Saccharomyces cerevisiae S288C: one gene and its partners. The protein of the gene in region 1 interacts with the protein of each later gene in a biochemical or structural test. Each region holds a gene or a part of one and is shown on either strand. Other genes may lie near its edges.

Evidence for each region.
Region 2: the proteins of CEF1 (region 1) and CWC22 form a complex in vitro, tested with the Saccharomyces cerevisiae proteins (one study listed by BioGRID).
Region 3: the proteins of CEF1 (region 1) and MSL1 form a complex in vitro, tested with the Saccharomyces cerevisiae proteins (one study listed by BioGRID).

Annotation. Positions count from the first base shown.
Region 1 is NC_001145.3:686,374-695,653, reverse strand, and holds CEF1 (Cef1p), read right to left. Parts: upstream 2,274-9,280; coding exon 501-2,273; downstream 1-500. Other genes in the region: SCJ1 (Scj1p), read right to left, coding at 1-304; EFR3 (Efr3p), read left to right, coding at 2,611-4,959; DML1 (Dml1p), read right to left, coding at 5,144-6,571; MGL2 (putative carboxylic ester hydrolase), read right to left, coding at 6,789-8,138; YMR209C (uncharacterized protein), read left to right, coding at 8,370-9,280. UniProt on the Saccharomyces cerevisiae protein: Involved in pre-mRNA splicing and cell cycle control.
Region 2 is NC_001139.9:1,044,844-1,051,585, reverse strand, and holds CWC22 (U2-type spliceosomal complex subunit CWC22), read right to left. Parts: upstream 4,856-6,742; coding exon 3,122-4,855; downstream 1-3,121. Other genes in the region: PXR1 (telomerase inhibitor), read left to right, coding at 1-676; SCW4 (putative family 17 glucosidase), read left to right, coding at 1,628-2,788; CAB4 (putative pantetheine-phosphate adenylyltransferase), read left to right, coding at 5,025-5,942; RNH70 (Rnh70p), read left to right, coding at 6,106-6,742. UniProt on the Saccharomyces cerevisiae protein: May be involved in pre-mRNA splicing.
Region 3 is NC_001141.2:372,951-377,981, reverse strand, and holds MSL1 (U2 snRNP complex subunit MSL1), read right to left. Parts: upstream 3,458-5,031; coding exon 3,122-3,457; downstream 1-3,121. Other genes in the region: STS1 (Sts1p), read left to right, coding at 1-695; MIND complex subunit DSN1, read right to left, coding at 821-2,551; DNA primase subunit PRI1, read left to right, coding at 3,676-4,905; EGH1 (hydrolase), read right to left, coding at 4,984-5,031.

The DNA of each region.
Region 1 (9,280 bases):
CTGGACCGCCACCGCCACCGCCATTCTTTACAGCATCTGCACCAAACTGGTCATAAATCTTTTTCTTTTCAGGATCGCTCAATACATCGTATGCCTCGCCGACTTCAATGAATTTTTGATGGGCTTCTTCGCTCCCAGCATTTTTATCCGGATGGTACTTCTTAGACAATTGTCTGTACGCTGATTTGATTTCCTTCTCAGTGGCATCTTTGTCTATCTCTAGTATTGCATAATAATCCTGCGCCAAAATTAGCGGCAACAACAATAAAGATAGTATCAAATGTATATATAATTTTGGAATCATTGTCCTCGATCTTTTCGCCAGCCAATGCACGCTCTTCTGGCCTATCCACCATGTTTTGTCAGTACTACATCTTATTACCATCGCTGGTTTGCCGATGTGGCCAACTTGGCAAGAAAACGTTCTAACTCCGGGTAATGCGTTGTCACAAGTCCTCTATGTCCTAGTTCATAAAAGTTATATTAATGCTATACTAATGCTATATGGAAGAAGAAGAATTTAGCATGGCTTGAAGACGCTTTCTACGACCCTCAAGCGATCGTATCTCTTGTCGGTAGGCGTAGTAATCAGCGTAGTACTTGCGTTGCCCTTCAATCAAAGCGGGCAGGCTGTGATGGCAGAGGGTACTGCACATCTCGTTATTCTGTTGTTCCAGTGGTTGCACATGTTGTAGTTTACGCTGTAACTGTTCAATAGACTCCACTTTTGATTGGATCGATTCCAGAAGAACCTCAGTTGGGGGCATTGCTGTTTTGAATTGTATTTTCATGGAAGTGCGCCCTTGGGTTATATGCTGCATACGCGACTCCACCTCTTTGAGAAAATCTACCGTATCTTCTGGTACCATGTGAGGTTCTTTGTTTATGGCGTTCGCGACTAGCAAGTTGTACTTATTGTCAATCGCGGACTGCGGATTGTTTTTGAATTCTGGTATGGGTAGCGTTGAGTAAGCTAATGGAACGGCTACTAATGAGACGCGTGGCGCATCATTTTGAGATGGTGGTTCTATGAAGTTGTCCTCTTCATTCATCGCTCTTTCATTTTCAAATTCTTTCTCGTATTCCGCTATCTCTGCATCTTCTTCTTTCTCGTCTTCACTTAATACAATTTCGAAATCGTTCTTGGGACTAGGCAAAGATGCGAACATTTGCACTAAAAATTTTCGTATGCGTGATTTTAGCTGTTTACCACTCTTTATATTACTGCGTTCATTATCTTCTTGGCCGGAGTCGTGGGGTAGTAGTTCTTTTGGTGTCAACACAGTGCCAGTTGCTTGTGCCTCGATTAGTTTTTGTCTTTTGCTTTCTAGCTTTTTTTTATAGGTGACTTTTCCCTGTTTCGTTCCTGGTGCAGATAGTATAAGTTTTGGTTTTTTATACTCATCCGTCAATGTAGTAGATTCACCCAGTGCTGCTTTCTCAACGTGTTCGTTCTCATCGTGTTTTCTTTTTTTGTCCTTATTTTTTTTACTTGGCTTATCCTTATTACCATCCAAACCTTTTCTGTTGACTTTTCTCTCAAACTGCTCAAACTTCTTTTTTATCTGGCGGTCTTCAGTGGACGTGTCATATATACCTGGCATGGGAGCTTGTTCATATACTATATCTTCATTGTAATCAATGTCGGTGCCGTATTTTTTTTTCGGTTTCTTAATGGCAACATTAATTCCTGCTTGCTTTAGCTCACGCCTCTTTTGTAGTTCAGCAATGCGTTTTGATTCTTCGAGCATCCGCTCTCTAATCTTTCTTGTAGCCTTCTTACCTTGGGTATTTAACAGACGAGCCCTAGCTTCAGCAAGCATTTCCTTTTCCTCATCTTCCAAATCACCATTATCTGGTCTAGCCATTTGAGTTTCAGCGTTAGGATTAATATCCCCGGCTTTCAAGTCAGTAACTCCTGTACTTAACGCAGCCCCTCCACTGTCTTCACTTTCTAATAGCCTATTATATCTTTCGACGCAGACCTGTGCAGGCCTGGCCATCATATCAGCTATGGTCCTCCACTGATTAGGCAGCTCTCTTGCAAGATCTAGAAGTTGGGCATCCTCCTCCTTCGAGAACTCTGTAAAATTCAACTTTGGATTTAAATATTCATTCCACCTTAATTCACTCTGCCTGGCAGTCTTTTTCTGCAAAAGGGATGCTACTTTGCTCCACTGATGAGTTCCGTATTTTTGTACAGCCGCTTTAAGAATCTGATCCTCCACATTGGTCCATACACCGCCTTTCACGTATATTGGTACGGGGGGCATCTTGAAATGCTAGTATAGTCCTCTTAGAAATGTTTTGCTTTTTTTCTTTACTATCTTCCTGAGTCGCATATGCTTTTTTGTCATAATAGTTCATAGCATTAATTTTTCATTAAACTTCAACCCCGGCCAAAGGAAGAGGAAGAAAATTTTGTTCGAACTACTAGGAAGGTAATGGTTTTGTTGAAAAAGCCAGGCAGCCAGGATAAATTGAAAGTATTGTGAGCAACCCCGCTATTGGAGTAGTATTAATTCAGTGGCAGACTGTATATTGAACCCAGATCATTCGCTCTATTATTCATCTTTCGTTCATTTTCAATTGTTCTGAAAGTGGTTTGCGATGCAGTTGTCTATGCGGATGATGTTCACACCAAAACATCAGAAACTGGTCAATCAATGTTATCCTACGGGAAGGACCACAGATAAGAAGCCTAAATCTTCGGAAACTTCATATTTGCTATATTACGTTAACTCGAGGCGTAGTAAATTGGAGAAAGTTAGCACTTACCTGATTAAGCGTTCCACTTCCGACTTGAACCATCGGCGCATAGGGAACATAGCCGTTACATTGGATTTAATGAACAAAATTGTGTTGCATTGTAAGGAGAATTTGAATGTATTTGTTAAAGATTTTTTGTACATTATGAACAAAGTTCTTTCCAACAACAATTTTAACAATGATGTATCTGTTGTTGAATTAATAGAACTGGCATTTAGTAGTATATGCCAGAACTTGGACGACGTCTTGTGTAACGGTGACATGGAATTCGTCCAGTTATACCAGAACTTTGTTGATCTTTTTTTTAAAATAGTTACTGAAAGAATTCATAATGATGACATGCTTCTGAAATGCTGTATTGATATATCAAACACAAATAGTGTTTCAAGCAACCCACAACTAAACCACTTTGTTTCCAAGTCTGTTGCCTATACTATTTCAAAGTTCCAAGAGAGAAATCCGAAATTTAAAACTTTGTCGCTGGAAGCAGCTCTGGAGAGCAATTTAGGAAAAAGGCTAAGTCGAACACAAACTCGTACAATTGGGTTAGATAAGGCCGCCGAAGATAATCATGACCTTTCAGTAAAAGCATTGCAATCCTATTTTAACACAACTGAGACAGACAAATTGAATTTGTCTATTCGTACTCTGTTGCGCTGTCTGCAAAGTACACCTAATAAGGAACTGCTAGAGTTTGTATGCAATGGTATACCTGTTCAGTTACGATATATTGTTATACTTCTTTTGGTCAGACAACTAAGCGACAAGGATAAAAATGTAAATCCAATTGTTTCCTTGAAATTGATGTCGTCATTACTTGTTTCAGATGTCAGTATAGTGGGGTTGAGTGTTCTTGATATAATGAGAAAGCTTTTAAATTTCCAGTTGAAAAATGCAACTAATAAAGAAGTTGTGGCACAGTCTTGTATCACCATGACAGACCTTAACCATAAAACTTATTACGCTGAACAGACCTCAGATATGTTATATGAACTACTATTGAAATTGAAAAGTGACACCGTCAAGGATGTTGAAAAGAATGCAGTTGTGGAAGATATTGATTTCCTCGTTGAACATATTACGCAGCCAAGTATCAGTTTGGAATTATTCATCGACTTGGCGCATTACATGAAAAACCACATTATATGTTTATTTAACATTGTTGAAACTGAGGTTCCAAGCAGCATTCTCTTTTCAAAACTGTACTCATTATTACGTGAACTGGATTCACATGGTGTGCAAAAAGAAATGATGGAAGAGATCTTTGACAAGTATGGAAAAATGGCACTATTATCCGGTTTGAATTATTTTCTAGAGAACGTTTCTGAGCCTGAGTATACCTATTATTCGTACCATTTACAAGCAGCTAACTTTTTAAAACTCAATGACTACAAGTCACAAACTGAGTACAAAATGCAAACTAGAACTTTGTTTACCAAGGAAGATTTATTGTCATACTATTCTGATACTGGATCAAATAAATACAGCAAGAAGGGGGCGCAGATTTTATTGTCTCGTGATAATCAAATTTCTACTTCTGATTTACTGTCGGACTCTCAAGTTCGTACTACACCTCTGGAGTACAAGAATGTCCCTAATGCTATTTTTTCAAATGGGAAAGCAGTGTATGATAACAACGATTTTGCGGCCAAGCAAAATAAATTCGACAACAGCATAGATGACAATATAGAAGAAGCTAACGATACTGTAATTTCTGATGCTAATGCAAAAGGTAGTATCTATAGGTTTGTTGCTGAGGACGCAAGATCATGGAAAACAATGAGAGCCACCGCACCAAAAGTTAGCGATTTGAAAAAAACTATGAATGAAAAGAATATTCCAAATAATATGAAAAGAGATGGCTCTTTTCGGGGTTCTCAATCAGTGAAATCTCGTGTCACTAATATCACATTTTTATTAAATGAATTGAAAACTTTTTCAGATGACGCGAATAAAATCAAAGATCCTGATGAGGAGAATATTGTTGGCTTGGATAAAATCGACGTTGCTAGATCAAATTCTCTGCGACTTGCACCAATATCTAGTCTTTCTGATCGCAGTAGCATTGGAAATAGAAAATCCTTTTTGCAAAAAACAGCAACTGGTGAAAATCAAAACGATGACTTTAAAGACGCAAATGAAGATTTACATTCTTTAAGTTCAAGAGGTAAAATTTTCTCCTCCACTTGAGAAATTAAGTTTTTGACGGACAGCTGTGGATGCTTTCAAGGGCAAGAGTGATATAGCATGACTTTCTAATTAATGTAATTTACGTAGATATAGATCAAATGGCGAAGTAAAAACTTCGAAAAAGATGGAAGAAGTCCTGTTTGCCTCAACTGGAGAAAGGAAATACGTAGCTGCAAACTGCTTATCACATATCGTCATCACCAGAATCTTCGTCTTCATACCACCCAGATTCGTACGCTGAGGCGTAATCGGAAAGTTCATTTTTCAATTCTTCTCTGTCACTATCATTTTTGAAGTACCTTACCACAAACTCATTCCAATGTTTGAATATATCTCGATTTTTTTCAGATGATTCTAATTCCAAAACAAATTCACGATCATTGGAAAATTCTGTCGGTATCGTATCAGATGGAAAATACCTGTGTGTATACATTTCAATCATCTTACTCCGTGAATCAGGTTCGGAATGATGTTTATGCGTTTGATTTCCTCTATCAATGAAACTTTTTGAAAATATGTGAGTAGAATTTGGTTTGTGGCTATTCTTGAAAGGAAGTACTCGAGAACAGAATGAGTAATCGGTGTCACCGATAACCATGCCAGTGACCATATTTCGCGACGAATATCCTAAGGTAATGGCAGTTGTTAGATAATCCATTGTCTTTCTTTGTTCAAGATTGCTTTGGGAAATTGTCGCATTTATAGAATCAAATATCCTACAGCTCTTTCCAGCAGTTTCCCAATTAGTTAGTCCAGGAGCAGCATACAATGGGAAGTAAAGATCGGATTCTTGCATCATATTTATTGTGCTTCTTAATTTGTTCGAAATGATCGGGAGCCATTTCTTTGAAAGTCTTTTCATAGGGAAGTCATCTGTGAATGGATCATCTTCATTGTGTCCCCATGAAAAGACCGCCTTTTTAGGTAATTCATTCCTTAATTCCACCAGTAGAGCACTAGAAAACCCGCCCCATCCACTCTCCATATCACTTACAAGATTGAAGCCTTGCAGGGTGTCACATTTTTCCAATTCTCTATGCAAATTTCCATCAAAAAACTCTTGCAAGTAATTTTCGGTAAATTCGTCATAACCAATGGAATACCTGTCAAACTTTCGCTCCCCCAAGTTTTGAAAGTCAGGTTGGTTTGGATTTTCAGTGTCATGGTACCAATTTCTCAAAATATTGAAACTTGAAGGACCATAGATAAGTTTAGAATAGTCAGACCAATACATCGTATTTTCTCTGTTCAAACAAGGCAGCGGTGCTCCTGCATCTAGAGAACTCTGATATTCGGATTTAGGTATTCTTGGATGAGTCTTTATAACTGTTTGCTCCTTGAATTTGTCTTCATTGCCGAAATGATAGTCTTGGCTTTCTGAATATTGATATGTTCCTAGTGAACCATTACCTGTACGGGCATCCCAAAGTAAGGCACGTGGTGCATATGAAATTGTTTTTGAAACTTTATCTACAACCGAATTCAGAAAAATTTTGGAGTCATTGACTTGTTGTTCTTTAGACAATTGTAAATAGCCCTCTTGTATATTGAAGAATTGAGTAGTCAAATGGTTTGCTCTCTGCGAAACCGATATCGTTACTACTTCATGCATTTTTTATTCTTGTCTGCCAATTATATATGTAATTTTAACAATTAACCCTCTTCTTCCAAGGTTTTAATTCATCGCATCGATTATATTTTGTTCCATTCGAAATTTTCCATTTTAAGTTTGGCGAAGCTTTTCACGTTTTCATTCAGAAATAATGATGTCGAACATCAAAAAAAAAAATTATCAGGTTACACATCTAAAAAGTTGACTTATTTACAAACTAATTCGCGCGAAAGGTTGTGGCTATGGGTTCGCAATTAGGATCTGGGAGTTGAACATTTTCCAAGTCAGGTTTTAAGCCCTTTACAGTAATTTCGTCGTGAAATATTTTCAAAAATCTGCATAAGGGTTCTGCGTACCACCTTCTGCCGGATCTGTCTTTGAACCATCCAACATGCCCCCCCGTCGAAGTTTCTAGAAGCAAAGTGTATGGATTGGATTTTATTTGGTCTATAGGAAGATCACCTCCGACAATTGGGTCATCCTGAGCATGCAAAGCTATAAAAGGAGTTCTGATCCCGGGTATTCTTTTATATGATGAAGCATTCTTGTAATACTCCTCTGCATTTTTATATCCAAACATTGGGCCTGTCAACAAGTTATCAAATTGCCTCACAGTGCGAATCTTTTTTAAATGCTTCTCGATAACATCTTTGAAATCAGGGTTTTCTTCCAGAGTAGAGAGATGGTTTCGAACCATGCGTAGTAAGTTGTGACCCAAAGCAGGTGAATAAAATCGTGACCCCATTGGTGTACTGTTAATAAAATATGCAGAGTTGTACAGGTCAAATGGATTACTCACGGAAATAGCACATTCGATTTTAGTACGATCTGACTCTTCTCCCAAGTAATTTGTCATTATAGATGCGCCTAACGAAAATCCCATCATATAAAACTTTCTATTCGGAAATCTTTTCCTCAAGTCATTAACACAATATCTTATATCATTGGTCCAACCACCGTTGTATAATAGCGGCGTTGTAATTGCAGAATAACAACATCCTCTAGCATTAAACACGCATGCTTCAAAGTCATACTTCGTGGTGATTTCATGAACAATTGCCCTCACGTAGCTTTCCCTCGAACCCCCTGTTAATCCATGGAGAATAATAAGCATAGGCTTAGCATCGTCTGAGTTCAATTTAGGATCATCAGGGGAATAGTACGAATATCTTCGTTTCAAGTTTCCGTTAAATACCGGTTGACTTGTCGGCACGTATTCTTTTTCCACTTTTCTTCTTTTGGTACTTCTACCATTTACAGCAAAATCCACAGTCCCTTCTCCCCCATGTGGGTATTTGATTATCATTCTTTTATATTGAACTTTGTATATATTGTCAAAGTGTCTAAAGGAACCATATGCAGTTTGTAAATGGCCATTGACCAGTAAACCATATAAAGTGTCAGTAGCACCGTCAGCTAATTCAGGAACTTTAGTATCTATTAGCTCAGGGATGGTGATCTCTTTATTTTCATTCTCTCGTTTATCGGTGGACTTGAATGCAATAGGATCCTCAGGGACCTCTTGATGAACAATCAAAAAATTAGGTAACAATTCTTTTAGACGCATATCGTCTCTGGAAGTTTACCAGCGTTTGTATAATACAGTTTTAAAATAACAAAGTAGTTGGTTTTTATCGAACTTCAAATAATTGAGACCCTTTTAAGATCCACAATACTTTTCGGGGTTAGGTAAGAAGACCCGTAAAAAAAAAAAAACGTAAACGATGCTGTACAATTAACAAATTTTTCAGGAAATAGAAGAGGTAAAAATATTGATATACGAAGTTGAGGAGCGCCAATGGTTAGCTCACTGGCATCAAATATAATTCTAGCCCTTGTGGTAGTCCTGATGACACTGCTAAGGCAAAATAAGCCGTTGCAGAGGTGGTTTGTATCATATGTTGAAAAGCTATTATCAAGAAAATCAAATCTGGCCCAAAAAGTCAGCGTTTTATCGCCCTCCTTAAAATTGGTTGATGTTGAGAAATCAATATCTGCCGATCAATCGAATCTTTCTAAAATTAATTATCAGATTCCCACTCTTCCTGATCTTACGGGGAATTTAATCCGTTTACATGAGTATCGAGCAAGAGGAGAAGGCTATAATGGCCTTTTATTTCGGAGAGCAAGACAATTAAATGGAATTTCAGAAGATCAGTTGCAAAAATTAGGCTACTTCACCAAATTAATGAAAAATAATGAGGGTATCCGAGAAAACGCAAGAGTTATTGACAAGATAATTGAGTTCACTTTAGGGAAATTGATTCATTCCAACGAACACGATGAAGAATTTACAGAGGAAATTGAAAAGATATGCGCGGAACACGGCTATAAGATTAAAGATGGTCACCTTATTCAATTGAATCCTGACTTCGTATTTCCAATAGTTTCGTCTCGAGGCAGCCAAAGTGTGGTCCATGAAGCATTAGCACATTTGTGTCGTGATTTCAGCTCTTACTATAGTGTGGAAAGAGATCCTTTACAAAATTTTATCATTAGTAGAATCAACCATCATGTGATTAGTGCCGGGGACATGAAAGAGAAAATTCTTATCGTGACCCCAGGGGCTGGTGTGGGTGGCCTATCCCATACTCTTGCCACCACTTTCCCCAAAATACAGGTGGACTCCATCGAATTATCAGCCTTGATGTACATATGTAACCTATTTGCACTCGAATATAAGCATGACGTTAAGATACGTCCTTTTGT
Region 2 (6,742 bases), on another chromosome or scaffold:
CCCCATGAATTCGAACACTTCGCATATCAAAGTGTCAATTAAGGACGACAACGTTGGGCTCGGTGCTAAATTAAAACGTAAAGACAAAAAAGACGAGTTTGATAATGGTGAATGCGCAGGGTTGGATGTCTTCCAGCGAATTCTTGGTAGGCTGAACGGAAAGGAAAGCAAAATATCAGAGGAATTGGACACGCAGAGAAAGCAGAAGATTATTGACGGAAAATGGGGTATCCATTTTGTGAAGGGTGAAGTTTTAGCAAGCACGTGGGATCCAAAGACTCACAAGTTAAGAAATTACTCCAACGCGAAGAAACGAAAGAGGGAAGGAGACGATAGCGAAGATGAAGATGATGACGACAAAGAGGATAAAGACAGTGATAAAAAGAAGCACAAGAAGCACAAAAAGCATAAGAAAGACAAGAAAAAAGACAAGAAGGACAAAAAGGAGCATAAGAAACATAAAAAGGAAGAGAAGAGATTGAAGAAGGAAAAAAGGGCGGAAAAGACCAAAGAAACGAAAAAGACGTCAAAATTAAAATCTAGTGAATCTGCATCCAATATCCCCGATGCGGTAAACACAAGACTATCGGTGCGCTCCAAATGGATAAAACAAAAGAGGGCCGCGTTGATGGACTCCAAGGCACTGAATGAGATCTTTATGATAACAAACGACTAAACATTCCATTGCGTTTCATTGTGTGAGCAGCTGGCCAGTCTGCACACGCAGCAAGATATATAGAGTGGGGAAAAATTCTTCCCCGGTGCCAAAGAAAAAAGCAAATAAAAATGAAAAAAAAAAATGTGTGCCAGTACGACAGCATACCGCAACGAGTTTTTACATACATGATTAAACTAGTAAGTAATATTATAAGTATTTATTGAACTTATTGCGCCACGACTTCTGCCCCTGCAAAACCTTCAGCTTTATTAGGTGGGTTTGATGGAAGATAGTAGAGCAAGTGGAAAGCATAACATCGCTAACGTCTTCCACACCCTCCATAAAGCCGCTGCATGAATGATAAACGGGCTCAATTCGTATCAGTGTAACCAAATCCATCAATTAACGCCCAATCGAGCTCGTTAACTCCATTTTGGGAAAGAATCAAGATGCCTAGCCCGGCCTAATCGAGATGCATCCACAAACGACCCTGCACGGTCATTTCCCAGAGGGTTTTGTAATTTGTAGGCACCGCTTTTCGCGCGACACCCTGCTGCAATAGGATCTTCTCCCTAGAAACACGCGCAACGCACCTCTTTTCCCTTTTCGTTTAGCCTCTCCAAATGAGGAAAATAGGCACATGATTCCTTTTCACGCGCATTTTTTTCAGAAATTTTCTCTTGTGGTGTTGTTTCAAAAACGGCACCGTTGTTTTTGTTTTTTTTTTTCTGTTTTCTCCCATTCCTCGAGGAGAAGATCTCTGTTTTATAAAACTAATAGATATGTATTCTTTATCTTCTGTCATAATTGTTTTCTGTTTAGTAGTTCTTTTAGCCCTTATTCTATTCTTTTAATAGTGTTTACACAAAGGTCCAGCTAGATATCTAACTAAATCCAACTAAGTCATTCTTTTACATCTACAATCGTTTATATACTAGCAAGCCATACCGAAAAGCAAACTAGAAAAATATGCGTCTCTCTAACCTAATTGCTTCTGCCTCTCTTTTATCTGCTGCTACTCTTGCTGCTCCCGCTAACCACGAACACAAGGACAAGCGTGCTGTGGTCACTACCACTGTTCAAAAACAAACCACTATCATTGTTAATGGTGCCGCTTCAACTCCAGTTGCTGCTTTGGAAGAAAATGCTGTTGTCAACTCCGCTCCAGCTGCCGCTACCAGTACAACATCGTCTGCTGCTTCTGTAGCTACCGCTGCTGCTTCCTCTTCTGAGAACAACTCACAAGTTTCTGCTGCCGCATCTCCAGCCTCCAGCTCTGCTGCTACATCTACTCAATCTTCCTCTTCCTCCCAAGCTTCTTCCTCTAGTTCTTCCGGCGAAGACGTCAGCAGCTTTGCCTCTGGTGTCAGAGGTATCACTTATACCCCATACGAGTCCAGCGGTGCTTGTAAATCCGCTTCGGAAGTTGCTTCCGATTTAGCTCAATTGACTGACTTCCCAGTCATTAGATTGTACGGTACCGACTGTAACCAAGTTGAAAATGTTTTCAAGGCTAAGGCTTCGAACCAAAAAGTCTTTTTAGGTATTTACTACGTTGACCAAATCCAAGACGGTGTCAACACCATCAAGTCTGCTGTTGAATCTTACGGTTCTTGGGACGATGTCACCACTGTTTCCATTGGTAACGAATTGGTTAACGGTAACCAAGCTACCCCATCCCAAGTCGGTCAATACATTGACTCTGGTAGATCTGCCTTGAAGGCTGCCGGTTACACTGGTCCAGTTGTTTCTGTTGATACTTTTATTGCTGTGATCAACAACCCTGAATTGTGTGACTACTCCGACTACATGGCTGTTAATGCCCATGCTTACTTTGACAAGAACACAGTTGCCCAAGACTCCGGTAAATGGTTACTAGAACAAATCCAAAGAGTCTGGACTGCTTGTGATGGTAAGAAGAATGTTGTTATCACTGAGTCTGGTTGGCCATCAAAGGGTGAGACTTACGGTGTTGCTGTTCCATCTAAGGAAAATCAAAAGGACGCTGTTTCCGCCATTACCAGCTCCTGTGGTGCTGATACCTTCTTATTCACTGCCTTCAACGACTACTGGAAGGCCGACGGTGCTTACGGTGTTGAAAAATACTGGGGTATTCTATCCAATGAATAAGTCTACTCAATTGTAAAAAAAAACAAAAAAAATCTTGATTTAAAAAACGATACCCAATATTTTTAACTTTAAATTAAGGCTTTGATAATCTTCTTTTTCTCTGTTATATCAAAGGACTGCTTTCTGGTTTGCCTTCGCTAATCTTTTTTTTTTTTTTTCATTTTCCTATTTTAGTTCGTTTATGATCTCATTTGTATTTCTGTATATTTGTCTTAATACGAAATACGAGTTTTTATTTTATATTCTACCTTTCTTTTTTTTTTGGCTAAAAGCGTGTACGGTTCTATGTAAATATGTACGATTACATGTGTAATGTTTGTTTGGCCGGGCTCTTCATCTATGCCGTTGCCTTCTTGCAGGCGGAGTCCTGGATCTGTTACGATGGTTTCTCGATCCTCTTGGTGGAGTTCTGGATCTAGCACGTTTTCTTGTTTCCACTGTGAATGGCGATCTTGATCTACTATTTTCTCTGGTGTCCTTCTGTAAAAATAACCTGGATTCGTGAATTTTTGGCCCTTGGGTTGGTTGTGACTCTCTGGCCTTCTTCCGTAACTTTTCAAGTTCCTCCTCTTCTCTCAATTTTTTTTCTTCTTCCTCTGCATCCTCAACTTCTTGAATAATTGTCAACCGGCTTCTCATGTCCTCTGTGAGCAGGCCCAATCCTATGGCAGTAAAGAAATTTATGGAGTATCTTATATGTTCGGCGTCTCCTTCCAGCGGAAACATTCCGTCAAGCTTGCTGGAGTTTAGCCTTAATTGCAGCTCATCTAATCCGAGCTCATTTACGAGCTCTTGAAATAAAAATTTGATGAAAATTCTTCCTTGAGGACACGATTCTTCCTCAGTTAACTTAATTATCTTAAGACAGTCCATTGGAAGAAATTCATAAGATATTAAGTGTCCCCAAAACTTACCTAAGATTCGCAGTTGGTCAGTTTCATAATCTTCGATATCTTGTGTATAATTCTGCTCAAAAGTTTCATTGTAAGCTGTCTGCCAACTCCTGTGGAACGTTATCATACGTTCGGACAAAATAGAATAAAATTTAGAGAATGTAGATTCCTGCAAACTAGATTTGATGATTATATCTACCACGCTTTTTTTCAAATTGTTCGCAATCTTTAATTTTAGCAATTTGTGAGCCGCTTCGTCACCTGATAATGAACTTTTCAGAACCAAATAAATCTTCTTTTTAAACTCGACATCATTGGTAGATGTCATGTCATAGATTTGTAATTGACTGTTACTACCTTCATTTGTGTCGGACGTATTATTTATCAGCAGCTTCTGTCGTAGCGTATCAAACGCCATGGTTAGTTCATTGAAATTTTCACACTTTTCAAAATTTCCCAGTTCTTTGTTGGCTTCATCCTCATCACTAACAATATAGGAGTGCGTATGAACTGTGTAACTAGTTGGGTCCAATATAAACAGACCTTGAGACCCAGATTTATAATCTTTTTGCCTTATTTCAAACAGAGTCTCTAACGACTCACGTAGTGTACTAGATAACTCCTGTGTTTGCAAAATATATCTTAACTTCTCCCAAATCATATCATGGGTTTTCTTACTGACAAGTGCAAGTTTCCAGCCACATATTTTCATCACGGCAATGACCAGTCGTAAAGAATTCTTTTCAAGGAGTAGCAATAGAATCTGTAAGATCACGATTTCATGAATTACATCATAAAGAAATAAAATGGACAGACATTGAAGGATATTTCCGCAGGACACGTAATCTTTGCGATTGAATTGCTGCACGAACATTAACATTAGTTCTTTTGCTAAAGTTTCTCCAATATCTGGAATATCAGAATTTAGCAAGGCAATCAAAGCGGATAAAGCAGGGATTAGCCTGCCATTCTGTTTGTTCAGAGTAAAATCCACAACATTTTTACAAATTATGTTGCGGCCAATAAGTATATTGACTTGAAATAAGTCTCTGTGCGATTCCTGTAAGTTGTCCATTGTTAAATTGGATATTATGGGTGAAACGTGTGACCTTATCATTTCCCAGTTTTCTCTCTGAAATTTAATGTCTTCATCCTGTATGGTAGCGGTAGACATGCTGGTTTGTAGCCTTTTTATTCCTTTTTAGGTTTCTTACTCACAATGCCAAAATAAATATCAGTGTAATATAATTTTTCAAGAGTACGTAATGGAAAAAGATAAAAATAAGGACCGTCATAAAAAGAGACGTGATTAAACCTAAAAATCTAAAGTAAAGAAGTGTAAGATGGTTGAGGAAAATTCCAGAGTTTTGATTGTTCTTCCTTATACACCGCCTAGTGCTACTTTGCAGAGGATTATAGGGCAAACTATTCCGTTCTTAAGAGAATGTCAAAGTCAACTAGACATCGTGATTGTACCTGAATTCAAAACCTCATTCCAGTTGGATTCTGCGCTAGGGAAGATGTACAGTATTACCAGGGATGTCCTTTTGGGCTATGGAATGATCAACAGCGGAATCAACATCATATTCAACAATATTCATTTCGTCGAGAGTAATTTGCAATGGAAAGTGGTTTTATTGCCACAGGAATCCACTTTTGAAACTTGGAAGCTAGAGTTGGGACAAGGACAATACCATAGTATAGAACATTATGCATTACACGATAATATAATGGAAGAGATAGAAGGTCCCAAAGATGCTAACAAATTTCATGTCACCGCATTGGGCGGAACGTTCGACCACATTCACGATGGACATAAAATATTGTTGAGCGTCTCTACATTCATCACGTCACAAAGGTTAATTTGTGGAATTACGTGCGATGAGCTCTTGCAAAACAAGAAATACAAAGAGTTGATTGAACCTTATGATACACGATGCAGGCACGTACATCAATTCATCAAGTTGTTAAAACCGGATCTCTCCGTAGAACTAGTTCCCTTAAGGGACGTGTGCGGCCCCACAGGGAAAGTACCCGAGATAGAATGTTTAGTTGTGAGTAGAGAAACCGTCAGTGGGGCAGAGACTGTGAATAAGACTAGGATTGAAAAAGGCATGAGCCCATTGGCAGTACATGTGGTTAATGTACTTGGAGGAAGGGAGGAAGACGGCTGGAGCGAGAAGTTAAGCAGCACGGAAATCAGACGCCTACTTAAGTCCTCTGCTTCGCCAACGTGCACTCCACAAAACCCTTGCGTATAAACATATTTTTGTATATTTTATTGTTGTAGTTCACTATTATTTTATTGTTAGTATTTTATAAGTGGCGCGAGGACACAATAGAAATGGAGGGAAGATTTTTGCTCGATGGCAATACCAAGGATGACTGAGGAAGAAAACAATAATAGACTATACTCAGGCAAACATGCAAGTAGAAGGGCCTGACACTAACTTCGTGAGTGATTTGGCTTTGGGATCAAAGAAAAGAAGGTTATCCAAGACTTCTGTACAAGAGGATGATCATACAAATGTGGTATCGGAAGTGAATAAGAATAAGAAGAAAAAAAAGGCAAAGCCTATGACATGCACATTGCTAAAGTCTGTGGTTGAAAAAGGTATTGGTATAAAGGATGTAAGAGACATGACTCAATACTTGTTGCAGGCTGAAAACAACTCTCCCAAATGGATTGATATTTGTAACAGGTCAAGTTTACAGAAAATGATAGTTCTGTTCATTCCAGGTTTACAACCAGATGATTTTGAGAACGGAAAAAATACCTTTAATGAAATCAGTGATGATAACTTCAAATATATTCCTGGAGAAATTGCCTCCACGTTTCATACATTTCCCGTGATGGCACCTGGTTCCAAGATGACGCTCTTTTCGCCCTACAATTCATTTATTAATGTTGGATTGTCCAAAATGGAGAAAATAAATAAATTGAAAGAGTTACAAAAGAAGAAGAAAATTACTATTAACGATTTGGTTCTATCCGAACAACAGTTAGTGGCAAACGATTACCCACTGGATTCTGGAGACACCAATTTTGATACAGACTGGG
Region 3 (5,031 bases), on another chromosome or scaffold:
AGAACCAATTACAGCAGTTGTTGGTGGATTTGATGACAAAACATCCAGAAATACAACAAAGCGTACATACGAGAGTCATCGGATTAGACTTCAGTATACAAAAGTGTCTGGACATGTTGAAACAAAAATCAGAAGCCGTTTACCAGAGCATACCTTACAATAGGTCTTATGAGAGTAATAAATTAGATGACTATGCTTTCGTGAGAATGAAACCTCAAATTCTGGAGTTCTTAAACTGTTTGGTGGATTTCATACTGGATAACATTCCACCACGTTTGGAAAATTTGCACGCATCATTAAAATTCTTAGACATTTGCACGGAATTAGTTATCAAATTGCCCAGATTTGAATTAGCTAGTAATAATTACTACTACGATAAATGCATTGAACAATTGTCTCACGTATGGTGTACGCTTATTGAACATGTTGCCCGTGACAGGATAATTTTATTAGCAGATAATAGCTCCGTCTGGAAAAGTCATATGACAAGATTACAGGTATACAATGAACATTCAAATGGGTTATTGGAACGCCCACTCCAGCTGTTCAAATCTTTAGATATGGGTAGCCCTTCAGCAGCATCGTCATCAACATTATCACTTCAAGAAAGTATTATTTACCACCACGATACCATGACAGCAAACGAAAACAATAACAATAGTGGTAGCGCTGCTACTGATTCGCCCTTTAACTAAGGATAGAATGGTTCTTTTGCTTTTTCAAATACATTAATATGTATATATATGTATATATAAATGTATGACTGTGTAATGTTACATATGCAGAAGTATCCGATTTTTTTTTGATTTTTTCTTTTATTTCATAAATCCAGTTTTTTACTGAAAGATAAACTTAATCCCTTCAACAGCTGTTGAGGATTAATCACTTGTGAGTGGTCATCGTCCGTTTCGCTTGAGATCTTTCTCATTGTTTCTATGTTCAATTTATTCACTTTTGAATTTGTTATTTCGTTTAAGGCTAGTGAGTGCGAGTTTAATATATGCGACTGGTACCTTAGCTCATCGACTTTTGTTTCTAACTTTGTCTCAACATCTGCAATCGCAAGGTCTGGCTCTTCTGTATCCGACAACGGTTCCAGTGGTTGTGATGAGAATGAAGTCAATTCTTGCCATTCAAGATCTGGTCTCGAAGTGTCTAAAGTGACTGCCCATTCTTTCACTTCATTTTTGATCGCGTTCACCTTGCTCGTTAAAATGCTAAGATTCTTTGTGTTTTCCACGTTTTTGCTATTAGGTAATAGTTTTTTTGGTTCTTTCGGTAGGGCTTTTCTCCTTTCACTAAATTTACGTCTAGACCTCTGTATTTCCGAGTAGTCCACCTCATCGTCGTCGTCGTCGTCGTCGTCGTTTTCCTGAAACAGTTGTCGCAGTTCCGTGTCATCGTAGTTTTCAGTATTATCCAGAATCTTCTCCTCATCTTCATCCTCATATTTTTCCTCATCTTCCCAATCTATCGCAATATGATCTTTTTTAAGATCATCGACAAACTCTTTTATTATCACCATAGCCAGACGTTTGGGATCCACATAATCAGTTTCTGCCTTTGTTGATTCGAGCTTGGATTTTTTGGTCAGATGTTCAAGTTCCCCTTCTTCCTCTTGGTTTTTAGCCTTCAACTCCAATTTATGCAGAGATCTCATTAAACACCAGTTGAAAAGCTGTCGTATTTGTAAATTTTTACCAAAAGACGCATTTCCAACCACGGTGTAAAAATCCTCTTCAGGAATATCCTTGTGCGGAGATATAATAGTGCTTCCCCCATTAGCTTGAGATGCTAACATAGACAATCTTCTACCTCTCTGACTTCCGATTGATTTTTTCCTTTCCCTTGTTCGTTGAATGTAGTGTGGTTGCTGAAGTTGTTGTTGATGGAATGATCCGTACGGAAACAATTGCGGAGCTGGCAGCAATTGTTGTGATGAAGATATATTTTGGGGAGTAGTCATATCGGGACCGCCTGCAGCAGTGGGTTGCGAATAAAAGGGCTGTAATGAGGAGTTGGGCATAATCGAATGCATTGGTGATCCAGGATATGGTATCATTGCAGGAGTTGGTGCATTCATCGGATGGTAGTAATAGTAATAAGGCATATATGGAGCGGGCATTGCACTTGCATTAACATTCGCAGTCGCATTTGCAGTCGCATTTGCAGTCGCATTTGCAGTCGCATCTCCACTATGATTGTCGTCAGCAATTGGCGCAGAAGAATTGAAATTCTCCACTCTCTTGGCCTTTTTTATATCTTGCAGGTTATCCAGCCTTTCGCCCAGAGTAGGGAACCCCTGGATATGTTTATTCTTGTGTCGTTTGAATTTCAAATCGGGGCTCAAATTCGACACGGATTGTTTATTCTCAAAATATTCGGTCTCCTCCTCATCTTTCTGGGTGGGCTCGTTGCTTTGTAGAGTAGCCTTGGAGTCGGATTCCAATATTGGGATAGTTTCCATCCGCAATGGGTATACTTGTTTGTGTGTTCTTTGATGCAGCATCGGCGGCGTACCGGAGACCGTTTGTGTGGGTTCCAGACTCATCCTCTACCTAAATAAAGAAAAATTTGTGTGTGGTACAATAGAAGAGGCCCGGTTTCACAACTCTGCCTGGTACTTTGTGCTTTTATCAATTGGCGGTTCTTTTGATGTTTATTTTGATTTGTTTATCATTTGTGAATTTTTGCTTTTACTAGAAATATATATCATTTTAAACGAAGCCACATATAAACGCTGAACTACACTGTAATTCATCATATAGTAAGCTGTCTTATATACTAAATTATCACTTCCAAAATGTAATAAACGTCTTTTGGCAATGGGGTACTCTGTGGTTTGCCCTTTGTATTATTTAAGCAATTGAAGTGAGGAATAAGCGGCCGTTCTGCAGTATGTCTTTTCGGGAGACTCTTTCTGCTACAGATTTTTGTAGATTCTATATCTACTCCATATTGATACATGCCTTGATATTATTTGTCCGTTGACGACCATCTATAACGCCGGGTTGTTTGGATATAAACATTTTGGTTTGGTTCTGCGCTCTTGACTTTGATGTGCCCCTATGGCAGCTCTTCTCGGTATATACGTGCTGCTATGAATAGAGCGTTAAGCCAGTCATAGTGTTTTAGTTTCACTCTTGCTGAACTCAACTTTCAAAGGCTTACCAAAGAATCGCTCGCCGTTTAATGAAATCTGGGCCAGACTGGCCTGGTCGATGGTTCTCATGGTGATAAAGGCTTGGCCCCGCTGTTTCTTGAAATTCATGCTAACCTTCAGTACCTCTCCAAACGTAGCAAAGAGCAAAAAAAGGTTTACTCGCAGTCGTTGCATATTAATTTTTTCATTAAGCTGGCTCACGTACAGCGTATTTTTAGCTTCCGTTACTGGTTCAGCCACAGTGTGATGAGTATCGCGATCAATCCTCTGCTTTTTCCTTGCTGGTTCAACCATTACTATATCCTACGTGTGAATGATGCGTGAGTTTCGAAACAGTTGCTCGGTCAGTGCCCTTTGCCACTTTTACCTATTGTTTTCTTTCAGTTGAAAAGTTTCATAACGCCAAAAAGATAAAAAATTAATCAAAAATACTTTGAAGCTGAAGAGAAAAGCGTGCCATAATACTAGCAAAAATTAGTTTTAGCAACTCAAAAAACTGTTTTATAAACATCATGACCAATTCAGTAAAGACTAATGGGCCAAGCTCCTCAGACATGGAGTACTACTATAAGTCGCTCTATCCATTCAAACACATTTTCAACTGGCTGAATCATTCGCCCAAACCTTCTAGGGATATGATTAACAGAGAATTCGCTATGGCGTTCAGGTCAGGTGCTTACAAAAGGTATAATTCTTTTAACTCTGTGCAAGATTTCAAAGCACAAATAGAAAAAGCCAACCCAGACAGATTTGAAATCGGTGCCATATATAACAAACCGCCAAGAGAACGTGATACTCTATTAAAAAGCGAATTGAAAGCTTTAGAGAAGGAGTTGGTGTTTGATATTGATATGGATGATTACGATGCCTTCAGAACGTGTTGCTCCGGAGCCCAAGTTTGCTCTAAGTGCTGGAAATTTATATCTTTGGCAATGAAAATTACGAACACGGCCCTAAGAGAGGATTTTGGTTATAAGGACTTCATCTGGGTATTTTCAGGTAGACGTGGTGCTCATTGTTGGGTAAGCGACAAACGGGCACGGGCTTTGACGGATGTACAACGAAGAAACGTTTTAGATTATGTCAACGTGATTAGAGACAGAAATACTGACAAGCGATTGGCTTTGAAGAGGCCTTATCACCCTCATCTTGCTCGTTCTTTGGAGCAATTGAAACCTTTCTTTGTCAGCATTATGCTCGAAGAGCAAAATCCTTGGGAAGATGACCAACATGCTATCCAAACTTTATTGCCTGCATTATATGATAAACAATTGATTGATTCATTAAAGAAGTATTGGCTGGACAATCCAAGGAGGTCAAGCAAAGAGAAGTGGAATGATATAGATCAGATAGCTACATCGCTCTTCAAAGGCCCCAAGCAAGACTCTCACATAATTAAGTTACGTGAATGTAAGGAAGATCTCGTATTGATGACTCTTTATCCGAAGCTGGATGTGGAAGTTACAAAGCAAACAATTCATTTGTTAAAGGCCCCTTTTTGTATTCATCCTGCTACGGGGAATGTCTGTGTGCCTATTGATGAATCCTTTGCACCTGAAAAAGCACCTAAGCTAATTGATCTTCAAACAGAAATGGAGAAAAATAATGATGTTTCATTAACAGCTTTACAACCTTTTATCAATCAGTTCCAAGCATATGTGAGTTCTCTTTTGAAAAATGAACTGGGTTCAGTGAAAAGAGAACGTGAAGATGATGATGAACCGGCTTCTTTAGATTTCTGATGGTGAAATCTTTTTGTAACAATAAAAAGGGTGTATATATATATATATGACTACTATAGCTTTTGGTTCAATTTTTGTTTAGCTGATAACGCATTCCGCTGGTAAGTCATTCGAAGTGTCACTTCC